2 linked regions of the Caenorhabditis elegans genome follow. The protein of the gene in region 2 interacts with the protein of the main gene of each other region in a pairwise test. Each region holds a gene or a part of one and is shown on either strand. Other genes may lie near its edges.

Evidence for each region.
Region 1: the proteins of dys-1 (region 2) and gpa-13 interact in a two-hybrid assay, tested with the Caenorhabditis elegans proteins (one large-scale study listed by BioGRID).

The regions. Positions count from the first base shown.
Region 1 is NC_003283.11:12,749,196-12,757,858, forward strand, and holds gpa-13 (Guanine nucleotide-binding protein alpha-13 subunit), read right to left. Parts: upstream 5,745-8,663; 5' UTR 5,699-5,744; coding exon 5,669-5,698; intron 5,596-5,668; coding exon 5,434-5,595; intron 5,346-5,433; coding exon 5,252-5,345; intron 5,199-5,251; coding exon 5,014-5,198; intron 4,637-5,013; coding exon 4,482-4,636; intron 4,337-4,481; coding exon 4,208-4,336; intron 4,153-4,207; coding exon 4,023-4,152; intron 3,977-4,022; coding exon 3,823-3,976; intron 3,737-3,822; coding exon 3,567-3,736; 3' UTR 3,408-3,566; downstream 1-3,407. Other genes in the region: C15C8.5 (DUF7622 domain-containing protein), read left to right, coding at 1-68, 112-314, 451-768; C15C8.6 (Serpentine Receptor, class Z), read right to left, coding at 835-939, 985-1,357, 1,718-1,813, 1,859-2,000, 2,046-2,201, 2,251-2,329; C15C8.8 (uncharacterized protein), read right to left, coding at 2,701-2,808, 3,087-3,203; papl-1 (Purple acid phosphatase), read right to left, coding at 8,505-8,601, 8,650-8,663. UniProt on the Caenorhabditis elegans protein: Guanine nucleotide-binding proteins (G proteins) are involved as modulators or transducers in various transmembrane signaling systems.
Region 2 is NC_003279.8:11,552,741-11,561,532, forward strand, and holds the start of dys-1 (Dystrophin-1), read right to left. Parts: upstream 5,112-8,792; 5' UTR 5,053-5,111; coding exon 4,983-5,052; intron 4,048-4,982; coding exon 3,728-4,047; intron 3,563-3,727; coding exon 3,438-3,562; intron 2,863-3,437; coding exon 2,747-2,862; intron 1-2,746. Other genes in the region: F15D3.9 (SAM-dependent methyltransferase), read left to right, coding at 5,295-5,315, 5,681-5,905; clec-101 (VWFA domain-containing protein), read right to left, coding at 7,897-8,381, 8,510-8,706. UniProt on the Caenorhabditis elegans protein: Plays a role in cholinergic transmission and as a functional partner of dystrobrevin (dyb-1), necessary for muscle maintenance. Required for neuronal positioning. May play a role in the localization of slo-1 near dense bodies in the muscle.

The sequences.
Region 1 (8,663 bases), on a different chromosome or scaffold from region 2:
AACTTTTTCTGAAGAGGAAAATCAAAACACTGAAATATTGAGTGTTTCGAATTGTGGTGATATACCTGGTAAGTTCACTGAAACCGTTCCTGTTGAAGAATTTAATTACAGAATTTGACTTCGACGTTCGACTCAAAAATTCAATTGGGTTTCCGGGTCTCTATTCAAATGGTTGTTACCGTATTCAAGTTGAAAAACGATCAGCAATGGTTGATTGTGTATGCTCGAATAATAAATGTAATGAAATGATTCCCGAAATAGAAACTGGTCATGTGAGATGTTACATGGGAAAGGATTTCAGAAATACGAGCCAGGTAAGTGATTTGGTTTTTTTTCAATCTAAAAACTATTTAAAAATACGATAGAAATATTGATGAAATATTGATGTATTCCCAAAAAAACCTAAGATTAAAAAATCTAGTCATCAATTGTAAAAATAAATATTTCCAGGTGGATTCCCACGAGTTCTGTGACGGAGATTTTTGTTTAATACAAGATGTACATGGACGAGTATCAAAAGGATGCATTTCATTGAATGAACGAAATAGTTGGAGCCATTTAAAAAGTGGACATCGTCGAATTCTTGGAGTTGAACAATGGTTATGCCAGGCTCATTTGTGCAATTATGATACCGAACGGGCAATGAAATCGGTTAGAAGTATGAGAGCTGGCAAGACGAATTCAGTTCGAATGAATGCAAGTTACAGTATTTTGGTGTTGGCTTCATTGATTGTAATGGGAAATATTTTGCGGTTAAATTGGCTTTAATTTATTTAATAAATGATGCATTTAATATCAAAAACCAAAAACCAAACAGAAATAGTTTCATGCATTTTAAAACTTTGAAAACTTGACGGTTTCTTTTTTATTCGGACGAATTACGATTGGACTGTTGGCTGATTGTGGTTGGAAAACATTTCGAATTCGGTAGAATAGTGCCTGAAAAGTAGTTACGATCTTAAACTATATTGCGAAAAAACCTACCGCTCGAATATGAACATCCAGTGTTAGAGAAGTCATTAATGGCCAGTAAGCTGTCAAAAACACGTGTGACAATGATAAAAATGGAACTGATGATAAGAAGCTCATACAGATCCAAAAACAAAAGAATAAATCAAATATGATATAGAAAAATAGGGAGCAAATTGTTTCCCGAGGTGCATCAGTTTCATCTTCATCTTCTCCGTCCTCTGAGGTGTGTGGTTTTTGGAAAAGCTTTTTGTAAATCAAAAAAGATAATGCAATAAGTGAAAAAAGTGTAGTTGGAACAATGATAAAAGCGACTAGGTAGATAAATGATATCACTTCAAAATATTGTAATTTCCAATTTAATTCTGATGGATTGAAACGACGAATTCTGAAAATGGAAAATGGAAATAAACTTTCGCTAGTATAATAATTGTACATTTATGGGATCATGTAACAACCTTTGAAAAATCTGGTGATTCTATGTGAAAGATTGAACATTTAGAAAAAAAAAAAATTTCTCAATCACACAATTTAATGAGTGCTATAACATTTTGATGACAAAAATCCATAAAAACCACGAATGACCCCAAAATACTACGCAGTGAGACTTTTTGAATTTTTCTCAAAAATTGCCCAATGAACAAAAAAGCGCTGAATATAAAAAGGCGCAAAATAAAATATCAAAAGTAGATGCTCTCCATCTTTAATGAACATATCTTAAACTTTGAAATTTCTTGAATTAACTTACGTGGTATGTGCACATATATTTACTGTGAAGAAAAATGAGAAGCAAAATACACCAATGATAATCACATAAATAACCTTGTCCGGGAATATTAATTTTCTGGAACAAAATTTCAGTCATTGCAAAACCTTTGTTTTCTCTTACCCAGCTTTGCTCGAAACAATTCTCAGACTACGGTAGAATCCAATAATTATCACCAAAACAAAAGCAAAACATTGTGATAAAATAAGTAGAAAAGCAGGAACATTTATCATAACTGGGTTGACAAAGTATGGCTGGTTCACCGCTAGAAAGTTTAACAGAGTTGAACATTTTAGGATGCAAAACTAACCTATCATTGCTGGAACTGGCACAAAAACTACAAATAATTGTATAAGAGAAGCAGTAAATTGAGATGATAATATCAGAACAGCAGGATGTGAAATAAAATTAGAGATTTCAGGTAGTATCGATATTATTATAAGGTGAAAGGCAATACCACTAAATCCTGAAATAATTTAAATTATTACTAGAAGAAGATTAGAACTAAATCTTACCAAGTGCAAAATATAAAGTTCCAATTGCGTCTTTCCAGAAATTTTCGCGAATCCAAAGTGCATCCTCGAAATACAACATTCTCAAGATTTTTCTCTGTATAATAACTTTATGTTTTTCTTTTTGAAACTATTTTTAATAAAAACAAAAGCTGGGTTTAGGTGTGAAAAAAATTTATTTTGAAAACAATTGGATCCAAAACCGAGGTCGCTAAAAAATGAAACTCAGCATCAGACCACAAGATATTGAGCAATTTAAAGAGACTTTAGAGCCTTGATTGATAATCAGACAGGGTGATAAGTGATAAGTGACAAAAACATGTTCGTGATGAAGAAACAGAGAAGCAGCTGGCAATGAGAAAAGAAAGGAAAGTTGAAAAATGAAAATAAATGGAGGACGGGAAAAAATGTGGTAGAACACATCTGGAGATAATTTGGTAAAAGGGAAAAGATTTATGATGATGTTTGACTAGATGATGAGGTTGAAGATTGTGAAGAAAGAGCATAGACTGGAGTCCATTTTTTTGGCATTGAGGCAATGGTTCCATTACCGAAAACCCACTGAAATTATTTTTTGAAATTATGTATCCAAGATGTACAGTTCCAAAAATGACTTTTTTTCCGAAACTGTTTTGTCCTTCAATACAAAGAGCTAGCTAAATTTTCCAAAAAGTATTTTTCATAATTTTCAAACAACTAATTCGCATTACACCTGAGCTACAATTTAACTGATAAAACAGGATTCTGTGAAGTTTTTTAAAAGTTTTGAAGAAATGTTCTTGTTATGAGTTCTAATATTTCTATTTTTTCAATGTTACACATTATTGGATTTTTCATACCTGACAAGTAGATAGTTTTGGTGAAGCAGCAGCAGCATTCATTCTTCTTGGTTTCTTTTCTACTGGCACTACAGCTTCAGTGAAAAAAAGAATGACAATAGAAGTTAATGATATCATTATTCGCAATACTAGGAACTGCTGATTTCTTTTTAGCAAAAATAATTTTCACTTAAATAAACTTAATGTTAAAGAAGATACCATCGGCATTTACAAAGTGTGTATAATTAAAAGGCGCAGAGAGATATTAAGATTTAGACCGGTATGTTATTAGCATATCTAATCAATCGTCTTTCTTTTTTCAAGAAACACTGTGAAAAACCAAAGAATAAATCTTTCTCTTTCACTTTTTTGCAACGTTTTCCTTTCGTTTATTGGGTGACAACATAAGTGTTGACAAGTGTGGGAATTAAATAAAATTACATGTGATGAATTGATTGGATTTCAATTAAAAATATAAATTAAATATTATACAAACAGTAGTTATTTCTTTCTTTTTGCAATATCTTTAAACACAGTTGATAACAATTCGGCCATCATTTGTGTGTCAATTGCAATACATCGATAGACACGGTATAGGGACCTGTCACGTTTACCAAGAGCTTCGCATGCAAGATTTTCCATAAAGTCTATTGCATCATCTTGATCACCACCTGAAACAGAAGGTAAGGCACTTATATAAATAATTTAACTTGATTTCAACACCAATTTTATATGAGACTCTCCGTAATATCCTTACCTTTAAAATCCGGTTTATACTTTGATAATGGAATGACGCTGAGTTTTTCACAGAAAACATCAATTTCATTCAAAAACAAATAGATTGGAGTTGTTGCAAACGCTGGGTCTTCACTGATTGATTGCAACAAATTCAGAGCGTCATCTAATCGATTCTAAAATTAATAATTTATAGATTCCTCTTACGAAGTTTGAAATTACCGTAACCATATCCTCGCTCATCACTTGATCATATTCAGAAATTGCGATGCAAAAGAATATTGCATCAATCCCTTCATATTGTAAAGCCCACTTCCGTCTATCAATTTTCTGTCCACCAATATCAAATAATCTGTAACTTTTTTTTTGATTTCCGCTTCAATTCCTCAAAGGAAAATGTGACTCACTGAAAAGATTGATTACAAGCAGTAAATATGACATTTTGAACACCACAAGTTGGAACATAAGCCATGATGAGATCTCTTTCAGACGGCTTATAATCCACCATATTTATCTTATCGATATTGTTAAGAAAACTGCAATTAAAAATGGTAATCTTCTGGATGAAAAGGATTAGTTTCAAAAAGTCTGGAAATTATTCTTGCACTTGTGAAAAGCGCAAAATTTTGCTCTTATGATCATAAATGTTCTGAATTCGAAAGACAGGGAAATGCAACTCACTAAGATGCTGAATCATTCAAATTAAATTGACTCCGTCGAGCGTAAAGTTTTTGCATAGATTTGTCATTCCAAATGTGTTTTATCTTTTCAGCCAAATCTTTTGAGAATAAACCATAATGACCATGTTCATCAGCTATTATGGATTGAGCACGACCCTGCAAATATATAGATGAGTTTTTCGTAATTTCTTTTAGGTTTCAATATTATAGTTCAAGTTCCCTCATTTTTAGAAATTGATAAACGGTCACGAAGACCAACTTATTTACCAATTTACGAAAAAAAAAGCTTCGATGTACCGTATTTTTCCTATTATATTTGCGCCCTCCTTTGTTTTACTTTAACGGCTCATATCTTGGTTGTTTTAAGTCTTATCCACAAAAAAATTACTGTGAAAATGTAGAAAAATATTTTTCAGGTATTATGTCAGTTCACAATTTTTTGTTAAAACAAAATCCAACTGAGATATGATCTGTCAAAGTAGAATAATACTGAATATAAATTTAATTCCAAATTCTTTTTAAAATAATAATACCATATTGATTGGGTCTGCAAATTGAATATCGGACATTCTCATGGCACGACATAACGCTTTGATACTTTTGAAAATATTGTGATAGATGAATGCACGTCGATGAAAATATTCAGACTCTGTGAAATGTTGTTTATAGAGCAACCGGACTTGCTCCAAAACGGTTGTTTTTCCGCTTTCTGCGGATCCTGAAATGAATAGAATTGGATTAAAATGGAATTGAAAATGAATACAAATTTACCGAGAAGAAGTAGTCTAATATGGCTGTATGGATCTTCCGATTTCTGAGAAGCGGGAGTAATTGAACGAGATGCACGAATTTCGGGAACTTGGAGCTGAAAATAGACATGAATTGAATTGAGGTGATCTCAAAAAATTGATTATAATAACGGTGGCCTCCTATAATTGCTTCAAAATACATACCGCAACTTGTGGAGAAATAGATGGTGGTGGAACAGGTGTAGATTCCTTTTTTTCAACAACTTCTTTTTCCGCTGAATGCTCAATTGGCTCAATGTTCTCTTCTTTTCCTATCACATCAGGTTCCGGTATTGGTTTGTCACAAGCAGCCGGAACATCAGACACCTGAACCAATTAAGTTTTGACAACAACAAAAAAAAACAAAAAAAGTTAAATTACTAAAATCCAAAAAGCTTACCTTACTTTGAGAAGAAAAGTTGCAACCCATTGCAATTGCTCACCACATTTCCTAAACTGATAAAGCTGAAAATTGGCATTCATTCTATTACAATAATTTATTTTTTTTTAACAAAAAAAAAACGAATTCTGATGAAAAAGAAAAACGAAGAAGTGCCTGAAAAAAGATGAATAGGAACGCAATTCCACCCGATTTCCTTCCTTTCATCGTCGCGGATATATTTTTCATACAAATGGAAAAGAGCAGAAAAATAAAAGAAAGAGAGTCAGTCAGTAAGCCAAGGAATATAATACCTGGTCGATTGGATGAAATCCACGTACTTTGAGGAAATAAAAACCACTACCGCTTTTGGTTTTTTCAGAAACTTTAGTTGAATTGGGAAGTGTGTAAAAAGAGATCGGTTGGATCAGAAAATATTATTCGTTTCAAGATTACATACAATCCAAACTTAGTCAACATACGTATGAAAAATCAAACCACGAAATATTTTTCCATGTCATTTCATACATGAATGACTGCAAGAATACTAATGTCTTAAAAGTGAATATTTTTTAGTCTTTTTCAAACTTAGTTTATCAAAAATATTTGTAAAAGTTACAAATTTTTTCAATAACGCGACAAGTACAGTTTCCCTCCTTTCATGTTTATTCTTGGACAAAAAAAACTTCCCCAAGTTTGGTTATGATTATGAACGCGTGCAAGTTTTCTGAGTTTGTCTAGTTGTATAAATTTGCTTTAACTGCAAACCAGGGGTGTGCGGCAAATCTCAAAATTTGCGGAGCTCGGCAAATTCGGCAAATCTCTTTTTTCAATATTTGCCGAGCACGGCAAATTCGGCAAATTTGCCGAGCTCGGCAAACGGCAAATTCGGCAAATTCGGCAAATTTGCCGCACACCCCTGCTGCAAACCACCAATTATCGCTTCTTAATTGAATTCCTATTATAATTAAAATTTAAATTCAAGCCAAGTGGCCAACAAACCTAGAAATTAATGACGAATTCAGCTTCACTGACAGCTGATCTCAGTTTGAAATTATTTTTACTAAGCTTCAGAAAGATACCATACAATTGAGTTATTTTTGAACACCATTGTTGAACGTACTGCTAAAATCTGTGCTCAAATACATATGTGTATTTAAGCAATATCATAAGCAATATCAGAATTCGTTCAGTTAGTATTAATTGCAGAGATTTGAGTTTAAAAATCTAAAATCTAAAATATCGGGTATATAGTTCTTCCATTCCGCCCATATTTAAATACAAAATTTTGTAAGGGATTATCTGTATACGGTAGTTCTCCTTTGCGAAGATACATATTTTGCAGTCACTGCTTCAAATTTTCATTCCAATCACACTTTAGAATAAAATGTTTCTATAAGCAAATGACATGTTTTATAAAGTCAATAAATATTTAATGATATGGTTTGAAAATTGACATGAGAGACGTAGAACGGAGTGTGAGCTGAAAAGAAAAAAGTGAAAAAGCATAGCACCCCAGTGGGCTCACTCTATCACATAAATCAATGTGGCTCGTGAGAAAGAAAACGAGATTAGATGTCGTCGTCTCAATGGAAGAAATTGGAGGAAAAAGGTTGACGAATTCAGAAGGTATCTTTAGAGATTAGATTAATTCACAAGCAGTTGGGTTAGATTTTACAAGATTAATTTCTGTGAGTCAGTATATGAAAAATTTGAGACGAGATGGTTAATCCTCCCGAAGGAACTTGTTAAATTTTGATGCTTGATATGAATTTTTTTAATAATTCAAATCAAAACGAGTATCGTATATCGTATATCGTAGATTAGAACATGAAAACGCCACTTTTTATTGGCACCTGTAAATAAACGGTGCCAACCTGAAAAGTCTAAAACATCTGCCAAATATTTCCAATGAAGCTTTCCAACTAGACGTTTAGATTAGTCAGAATTGTTGATCAAACTTTTATATTATTTGATCCAATTTGTTTAGATCCCTGCAAATTATATCTAAATGCAATCAAAAGAGGAAATTGTCATTTTTGGACAAAAACTGTAAATTAAACAAAATCTATAAGTTAAAAAAAATATCTGAAGTATAGTCCATATTCTACACTTGTATTCCATTCTATCTTTCTCTAGTTATATGTTCACAAAATGTATATTTCTGACTATATACATACAACGCATTGTATTTATATATCAAATTAAAGTTATGATGACGTAAGTATTTGAAAAATTAGAGTATAAATCTGGAAAAAGAAGAAAAAATCAAAATTGTTAATGACGCGCCCTCTATGGAAGTTATTCTGACTCATATGTTGTATTACCGCGTACGGTTTCATAATTTCTTAAATAGAAAATACCTATTGTACCTGAAACTCACATCATTAATTTTAATCTGTTCAGTCTGGAGTGTGCAAGTTTCAAATTTTTAATGTATATCATATTTGCAAAATTCAATTCAACAGCTTGATATTATTGTCTAGAAACTCCCACGGAACTGCTCTCACAAATACGTCAATGCATGCAATCAAAAAGAAGAAATCTAGGAAACCACATACAAATATGAAATTTCTATTTTGAACACTGACGCCATCACCACGGCCAATCAAATTTGCCGCATTCGGGAACCTCCCAAAATACCAAACTTTGCTGGACCTGAATAACCTCGGCAACGAAAATTTAAGTTTCAAATATACTGGCATTTGACAACTTGAAATTTTTGATAAAGTTTATTTTTATTTTTTGCTACATATTTCCCACAAACTCTACTCTGCCTTTTATTTTTTTTTCGAAAATCATAAAAATGAATAGAGATATTTTATACAAGCTCTTATTTTTAATTTATTTACAAAATTTAAAGTTCTTCGTTAATTTCCTTCAATGATCGTTTACAGGCGACATCCTTGAAATGGCATTTTTGAAGTGGAAACTTTGCTCCTGGATTTGCTCTTCTACAAACAGTAATTTTTGGAACTTTTTTCAAAGCCAACTCTACTAACCTCATCTCACCAGA
Region 2 (8,792 bases):
TGTATATTTAATTTTTTTCCTAAAAATTTTAATTTTTGAGGTCTTTCAAAAAGTACACAAAAAAGCTAACTATTTGTAAAAAAATACAGTTTTATATCGACTGGATTTGATTTCACTCAAAAATATAGATTTCCCGCCGAGTTACAGCCAATTGAAGTTGGTGGCCTAGAAAACCAAAGTTAGGCCGCCGACCCAAGGCTTAGTGGCTAACAGAGACAAACACGGAAAAATAGGCCAAAGTTCGCATAAGTTTTTATCGGTGGTAATCTGCTAAATTACAGCAATTTGAAATGGTGGCCTAACTTTGGATTTCTGGGCCACCAAATTCACCGGGCTCTAAGTTAATTGAAAATTCATATTTTGAGCTGAAAATTAGTAGATATCCTGAAAACCTTCCTTTCTTTCCAAATTATATAGATTTTCGAAAAAGTTTCCTAATTGTGAAATTGATGTGAGCCTTTAAACCTTGTGGTTACTGTAGTCGTCGTAAAAATTTAAATTTTAAGAAACCCTCAGTCATGATTAGACTCAAATGAAAGGTATTATTCTCCTATCTTCACAAATTTATATCACATGGCCGAGCATGCAAAACCTAGGCCATGAGATGAAAAAGTTAGGCCATGGGGGTTAAAAAAGTCAATTATGGGTTTTTTTTGCAAAAAAAAAGATAGCATAATTTTGCAGAATCTGTTTCCATAAGATTTACATCATTTCCGGAATTTTTACGCGGGACAAAAATTTGCAAAAAAGCGACAAAAAGTGGCAAAAATCGGGTGAACAAAATTTCCGGTTTCGACGCGGTATTCTCGTCATTTTGTCTCCTGATAAATCTCCCATGATAGTGATAAAAAGATAACAGAAAAATGTATTCAAGAATACAAAAAAAGGATAGAATGGTTAAGAAAATTCTGCGAAAGAAGAACGAAAAAAAAAGGAATTTCTGTATTTCGCACCACTTTATGAGTGGACACACATCGTTTATTGACAGTAAAGATCAGGGAAACAATTGAGTGGAGAGGTCTGGTGTTTTGACAGGCATAAAATAAGGAAAAGTAGAAGAAATTTCGATTAATTTAAGGTAAAAATGAGAGAAAAATCTTAAAAATTGACTGAAATATGGCAGTTTGAAAAAATTGAAAATTTATAAACGAAATTTTTTTTTCGAAATTTTTTTTCAAAACTCTAATTTGTCTAGAACTTCAAATTGTTTGCAGTTTGTTTAAACAAAATTTACAATAAAAGTAAATGAATGTACAAACAAAGACTATTTCGTAATTTTCAGTGGTTTTTGTGCTAAATTGAAGTTAAAAACTAGAATTTTTTAAATCTAGACATCTAGAGTAAAAAATTGTTTTTCGAAAATTCTGAACACGATAAAAAAAAAAAAATTGTAATATCTAAAAAATTGAATAAACTTTACTTTTCCGAAAATTTAAATTTTGAATTTTTTTTTGAATTTTTAACCTTTTTAACTTATAACTTTATATTTTCCAAAAAGCTGTAACATTTCAAACATTCTAATTTATGAGAAATTGTAATATAAGCTGTTGTGCTCATTTTAAGCTAAAAACCAGCATAATATCCTAAAAACTGCCAAAATTAGGGAATTTTGAAATGTGAGCAAAAATTTTATTCATCTTTAATTTTTACATTGCTGGTTTGAACTCAATATTTTTACAAAATACTCAAAATTCTTCAAAATTTGAAAAAAAAGTATCAAAAGTAGTAGTAGTAGTATGTCGTAGAAAAACGGATAGTCTATATAATGATTAGTTTGTCTTCCTATTCTCCGTGTTCTACAGGTACACGGGGACATCTTAATTAGAGATACACAGAGACCCCCCAGGCGAGAGATTATTGGAAAGTGAGAGAGGGTGGCAGAGAAAAAGACAGAAAGGGGGACAAAAGGGATATATGGTTCTCCCTGATCGGGCGGTTACGCAATCTGTCTGCGTCTCTTTTATCTGTGATCTCTCGTCTTGTTACCTATATACTTAAAACCAAATTACGCGGAAAACATCAGTGTAGGTAGGCTTTTTACCCTTTGTTGCCTGCCTACCTATGTGTCTACTTTGTGCCTATCTACTTTTTTGAATGCCTACCTATGTACCTATCTTGTGCCTACCTACCTATTACGGGACCATGAGATGAATGCCTATTTACTGGCGCGAAAATATTGACAGGCCGCGGCAGCGAGAGAGCATATGGCGAAGAGAGACGCCGGTCCCTTCGCTACGAGATATTTGCCGCCAGAAAAGTAGGCATTCTCATGATCTCATTGTCCCGTAATACCTACCTACTTGCCTTCGCGCCTACTTATAACCCATTTTGACTTACCGCATTGAAGCTCTAACTCAAGTGAATTACTGGAAAATAGATAATTCAGTGTTGACAGTTCTTGTAGGAAGGAAAGTCTTCATCACTGCCTGCCTGCCTACACGCTTGCCTATCAGTTTTTTAAAACCTACTAGGCAGTCAGGTAGTCAATCTTGTGCCTAGGCGTAAAACTGCTGTAACTCGGCTCAAAATCTTCATTTTCAAATAAAATAAAAAGTGAATGATTTCAAAAATTTTCAAAAACTTTCAAAATTGAGAAACAAAAATTTTGACCGCAGCGGGGGGTCGAACCCTGGTATGTTTTTCCGTAGCTGTGCACCTATTCTCCACTAAGCCACTTTGCCCAAAACAGTTTTTTCGTGGTTTTTCAGCGTAGAATTCGATTTTTTTTTTGGTTAGAAATAGTAACCTTTTGGATTCAGAAGCCTTGGCACATTCCATGTCTTTTCAGCGACAGCAAAAGCGTTTTCAATCCTGTCGATGGCACTCATTTCGGCGGTTTTTGTGAGGTTTATCAGTTTTCGGCTGAAAATGTTCAGGATTTCGGGCTCGAAACTATATTAACTGTGTTTGTCGCACTGAGAGCTTTCATTTGAGTATAATCATGATTAGTTTTGGAAAAAGTTGAATCCCGCCACGAAAATCACATGGGTACTGTAGTTTTCGCGGCGAGACCCTCTCTAAAATTCTTTTTGATGGGGTTCTCGAGTTCTACACGCCGAAACCTTTCAAATGACACCCATATTGCTATACTTTAAAATATTAAATTCCAGGGCCTATGTTTTCCAAATTTGAAGTCCCAGTGAGTTTTCTAGGCCATGTAGTGAAAAGTTAGGCCACCAGCTTGAACATTTCGGAGCCTAGGCATTATGGGTGTCAAATAGACTGTAATGAAATGTTGAATTTAAATTTGATATTGAATTAAAAAAAAATAAGATTAAAAGTTGTTTTGGAAAATTTAGAATTGAAAAAATCCAAAAAAATGTGTTTTTTTTTTGAAATTTTTGAATTTTTTTTCGAATAAAACCATGTTTCATGGAATCTAGAAACTCTTGAAAAACTGATTATCAATAAATTAATTTCTAATGAAAAACCCTTACTCATAAGAATGTATGAGGTAATTGAAGGCATGGCCGTCCCGGAAGGAAGATGTAAAGTCGTAGACGTCAATTTCTTCGTATGATTTCATGACTTCAATGCACCATTGTTTGATGGCTTCGGAGAGCTGAAATTTGAAAATTTAATAGAAAAAATTCTAGGAAAAAAATTTTAAAAAAAATTTTCGAAATTTTTTTTTTCAAAATTTTTTATTTATTTTTTAATTTTTCAAACCCCCGTAACTTTATCAATTTTAAAGATTTCCACTTGATTTTACACTCAAAAAACTCACCTTTTCCTCCCGTAACTGCACGGGTGCATTATTTTTCCAGAAAAACTGAACAAGCTGCCACCAGGCTGAGAGCACCGCTTTCTGCTGCCCTTCCATAACTTCCTGCGGATTCGTCTTGGAATCCCCGATATTTTGCAAAACATTAGGCCAATCGTCGGATGGATTACCCAGTACAGCCATAGTCTGTCCAATAATTGCTTGGTAGACAAAAATCGCGTTTGAACCATCTTGAAGGCTTTTGTAATCGGTTAGACGTTCTGTTCCGAGCAGGTGATTGGCCCAGCGCACGAATACCCACTCTTGGAGCTCATTTTTTGGGTCTGAAAATTTTATTCATAGCTTTTAACGTTCAAATTCAAATTTTCCGTCAAAAACTCTACAAATCGGTTTTTGAAAAATCGAAAAATATGAATTTTGAGCAGATTTACAGTTTGGTGGCCTAGTTTTAGATTTCTAGGCCAGCAAAATTTCTAGATCAGCATAAAATATGTTCAACAGAGTATTGGTGGCAACAGTTAGTTCTCTTCAAGAAGTTTGCTAGAAAAATGGCATTTGTTAACTAGTGGCCTAGAAATCCAAATTCAGGCCACCCAATTTGACTCGCTGGCCTAGGTTTGCTTTTTCTAGGCCACAAAAATAATTTTTCATTATTACAATGCTTTTCACTGACTTCTGCACGTTCATAGCTTTCACATGACACCAATATTGCCATACTTTGGAAATTTTATTCCATGGCCTAACTTTTCAGTTGGTGGCCTAGAATTTTTACTTTTTTAGAAATTGCTAAATTTTATGAAATTAAATTTTAAGAAGCACACAATATTACTGTTTCACTTTAAAATTCTACAAATTTTATCTTACTGGCAAAATTTAAAATTGGTCGCCTAGAAATTCCTCGGCCACCAACAACTTAAAACTCCCAGAACCTATTTGAAATTCAATTTTTGAATTTTTGAATACTCCTAACAAGGAATAAAAACTAAGAACATTTCAAAAATCTGAGCGTCTAAAGTCCAGGCCCAAATGCATTTTCTCGGTCACGGCTTGAAAAGTTAGGCCACCAACTCAAAATAGTCGGATCCTAGGCATGATGGCTGTCAAATTGAAGGTCTCGGTAAGACAGAAACAAATATAAAATAAATGTATGCTGAAAACTATGTTGGTGGCCTGGAAAATCAAAAAAGGTAAATTTCTATGCCATTTTTCGGGGATTTTTCTTTTTTTTTTTGTCTTAAAAATTTTTCAAAAAACTCACCGCGATCACTTTTCTTGTCCTTTTTCTCGTCTTTTTTCGGTTTCGCAGTCGAGGCGCCCGAGAATAACATGGTGTTGTTGCACTTTTTCGTTCGTTTTCGCCTATTCTATACACCAATTGGCATCTGAAATTGGGATTTTTATTAGAAAAAAAAATTAAGTTGTAGAATATAAAATTATTTTTAAAAAACGTGGGGTTATTCTAGAAGTTTTCCAAAAAATAAAAGTTACGAAAAAAGAACGAAATTTTCTGGAAAATTTTTTATTTCTAAAAAAAAATTCAAAGAATTCAAAGAAAAAAATATTGCTAAAAATGAGTAACAGTGACAAAAGTGTAAGTTTTTCTATTTTAGTTTTTCTAATTTCAAAAAATTTAGAAAATTTGAAGAAAAATTTAAAAACGAAATATTGGTGGCCTAGTTTTAGTTTTCTAGGCGACCAATTCGAGTTTTTCAAGTAGATTTTTGTGAAGAGCTAATTGTGAGTAAACCCTTTAATTTGACAATATATTGATTTAAAATTTAAAGTTGGTGGCCTAGAAAAACATAGGCCACCAACGAAAAAAAAACCAAAATGGGTGAAGCTCTATTCATGTTAAATTTAACGTGACACATCAACATTTAAAAAAAAATCAAGCTGATTTTAGTGGCCTAGAGAACCAATCCTAGGCCAGCAACACAAGAAAATTTGAATTTCTAGGCCACCGAAGCCAGTTCTGCGAAGACAATTTGGACGCATTGTGCGAACGACGGGTCGGACAGAAGCATTTTATCCGATTGGATGGATCACAGTTTTGGAGCAGAAAAAGAGCACAATTTGGAGCATGATTTGACGGAATTTGCGCAAATTCCTTTTCGTTGTGCAAATGACTATGAGATTTGTGCGAAACAATCGGAATATGCATTTGATATCTCTAATTATTGATTTTTTCAAAATAAAAATTTTGAAGGAAAATACAAAAATTCAACAAAAAATATGGCTTGAAAAAACTGAAAATGATAATTTTCAGCCAAGTTAGAGCCTTGTGAAGTTGATAGTCTAGAAATTTTCTAGGCCACCAACTTCAAATTTCTCTAATTTGGCTCAATCATCTTGGGTCTAACAAAAACTTTTTTAAAATCATTTCAATAAAAAGGGATATATTTTTAAAAAAAGCATGTGGCCTAAACTTTTTCATGGACAAAGTTCTAGGCCACGAAATCGAAAAGTTAGGCCATGAAAAAGATGAGGCAAAATATGAGTGTGACTACTGAAAGTTTGGAACGTGTGTGAAATTCATCGGAAAAGTTGAAAGAAAAATTGGTGGCCTAGAACATCAAAACTAGGCCAGCAACTGAAATTGTGTGGCCTAACCAAATCTTTCAATTAAACATTCCAGAAAATCCTAGGCCATCTAATTCAAATTCGCAAAAAATGTTTTAATTTTAAGTTAAAAGAAAGCAACTTGAATTTTCGAAATTCTAAGCCACCATACCAAAAATGTCAAGCTTTTAAATTCAAGTTCGGCTGCCTAGAAAACAAAAACTAGGCCATCAAATATATTTTTAACAGACTTGGAAGCAATTTTTAACCTCAAAAACACAAAAAAATAATAACGGCACGTCTACCACACTCTCGTAGGAAATAGTAATGGAAAAGTGTGTGTGTGTGCTCCCGGAGCATTCCCGTGTGTGCACGAGGGGACCCCTCAATCCGTCAGCTGCCGTCGTCAGTCAATTGTTACAATGCACCATCCTCTTGGACATACCCCAACGGCATTTGATGATGATTCGGACATTTCCTGGGAGCTGCTACTTTTGCTGATGTGCTCCGCGAGCTCTACTATCAAAATTTTAGAGGGGACATTTGAGAATTGGGTTGTTAAATGGAACGGGTGGACAGTTGGTTTTTGAGAATTCCCAAACTTTTTTAAAAATAAAAATAAATTTCGAATGAAAAGCGGCTTTATAAATTTCCGAATTTTTCCGAAATTAGCTTCTCATTCGGAAAATCTCCCAAATAATGTTTAAAACTACTATATTCTAAAAAAGGGCAATGTTTTAAATGTTTTTGAGTAAATTTTGTATTTTTGAGTCGTCTAACTACAAAATTTACCATTTTAGAGGAGTTTCAAAATTGTGAATTTTTACAAAAAATTGTCAATTTTTGCCACTTTTCAATAGTTTTTGATGGGTTATATGTACCTAGATTTTCTGAATTCAGCATACATAAACTTACAGTTGTGCCAATATAATTATACAAATTATGTCCCAGCCGAGTTGTGGTGCACTGATCCTCCTACCGTGTTCCGATTTTGGACAACACTGCTGAGAGTACCTATGATCTGATTTTTACCAAATATTTTTCCATGTAAGATCGCCAGATCAGCCAGGAGACGACGGAGCTCCAGGAAAGGCCGGAGACAACAGTCACGACGGAATCCCATCCCCAATTGACGCCTATGCCCAACACGACTGCATCAAGTGCCCAGCAGGAGCCCCAGGGCCAGCTGGACCAGACGGAGAGGCTGGAGCCCCAGGAGAAGACGGACCAGCTGGAAACGACGGTGCCGCAGGTGAAGCCGGAGCCCCGGGATCCGATGGAAAGAATGGACAACGCGGACAGGGAGCTCCAGGACCACAGGGACCAGAAGGACCAGCCGGGGCTGCAGGACAAGACGGAGCACCAGGAAAAGACGGAGAGACCGGACCAGATGGAGCCGCTGGAGAGGCCGGAGGTGAAGGAGCACCAGGACCAGACGCTGCTTACTGCCCATGCCCACCAAGAACCGTCGGATACGGAGAGGGTGACCAGCCACAGGCTGAGCAATCCGGATACAGAAGACGTGCTGCTAGACGGCTCTAGATGCTCGGAGTTTTTTGTCTGAAAATTTCTTGAAATAAACACAATTTTCCATCCTTTTTATAAGTCCTTTATTAAACTCGATTCAACAAAAAATCATTAGCCCTTGCGCAATAGTTATCAGTGTCACAAGTTGATGTTTCACAGACATAATTCGCATAGAAATTTGATGGAACATTGATCCATCCATCCGTTACATAGGTCACCCCCTCGAGCATCTCGAGCATAGGTGAGCACCTCGGAAAATCCGGAGCCCAAATTTGCCATCCCTGTAGTTGCACTTGTTCTTCTCCGCTAGCCTGATCCCATTTCCAAAGTGAGCAGTTTCCATTGAGCCCGATATGATATTTATAAGTAGGTTGGAATTCCTTATAAGTCTTCAAAATCGCCATCACAAAATCGTGTTTTTCTCTGCTGTACTCATTGACCAAGTGACCATTGTTTCCCTTATGATGGCATGATGCTTGAGCAATGCTCCATGAAGCTGGCAAAGTGACTGGTTGAATGCAGGTACCTTTTGGCTGGTATTGGTGCCAGCTGTTCGGACAGAAACAGTTTGCTGAAAAAGACAAAAGTTATCAACTGAATTTGAATGGTTAAGAACGTGCTGACGTCACAATTTTTATAGAAAAATATTCCCGCATTTTTTGTAGATCAAACTTAAGCCTGACAAAATGTCCTCCTCACCTTTCAACAAAGAGTCTTGAATTTTTTCGATCAACCCCGGATCGTCATTTGTAAAATTAAACTCTTTCGTTGCGATTCCTCCGAGTTTTTCCAAAAGTTGTGTGTCATGGCTTTGCGAATAGGCAACAGTTATGATAATACCACCACTTGATAGAAACCGCGCCGCAACTGGTTTCGGATCATTCGCTCCATCATCTCTGTAAGTATCGGTGTCAGTGGAACGAGATTTTCAGGCAAAAAACGCCAAATTGCCGGAATTGAAAGCTTCTGGTAAAACGGTAAA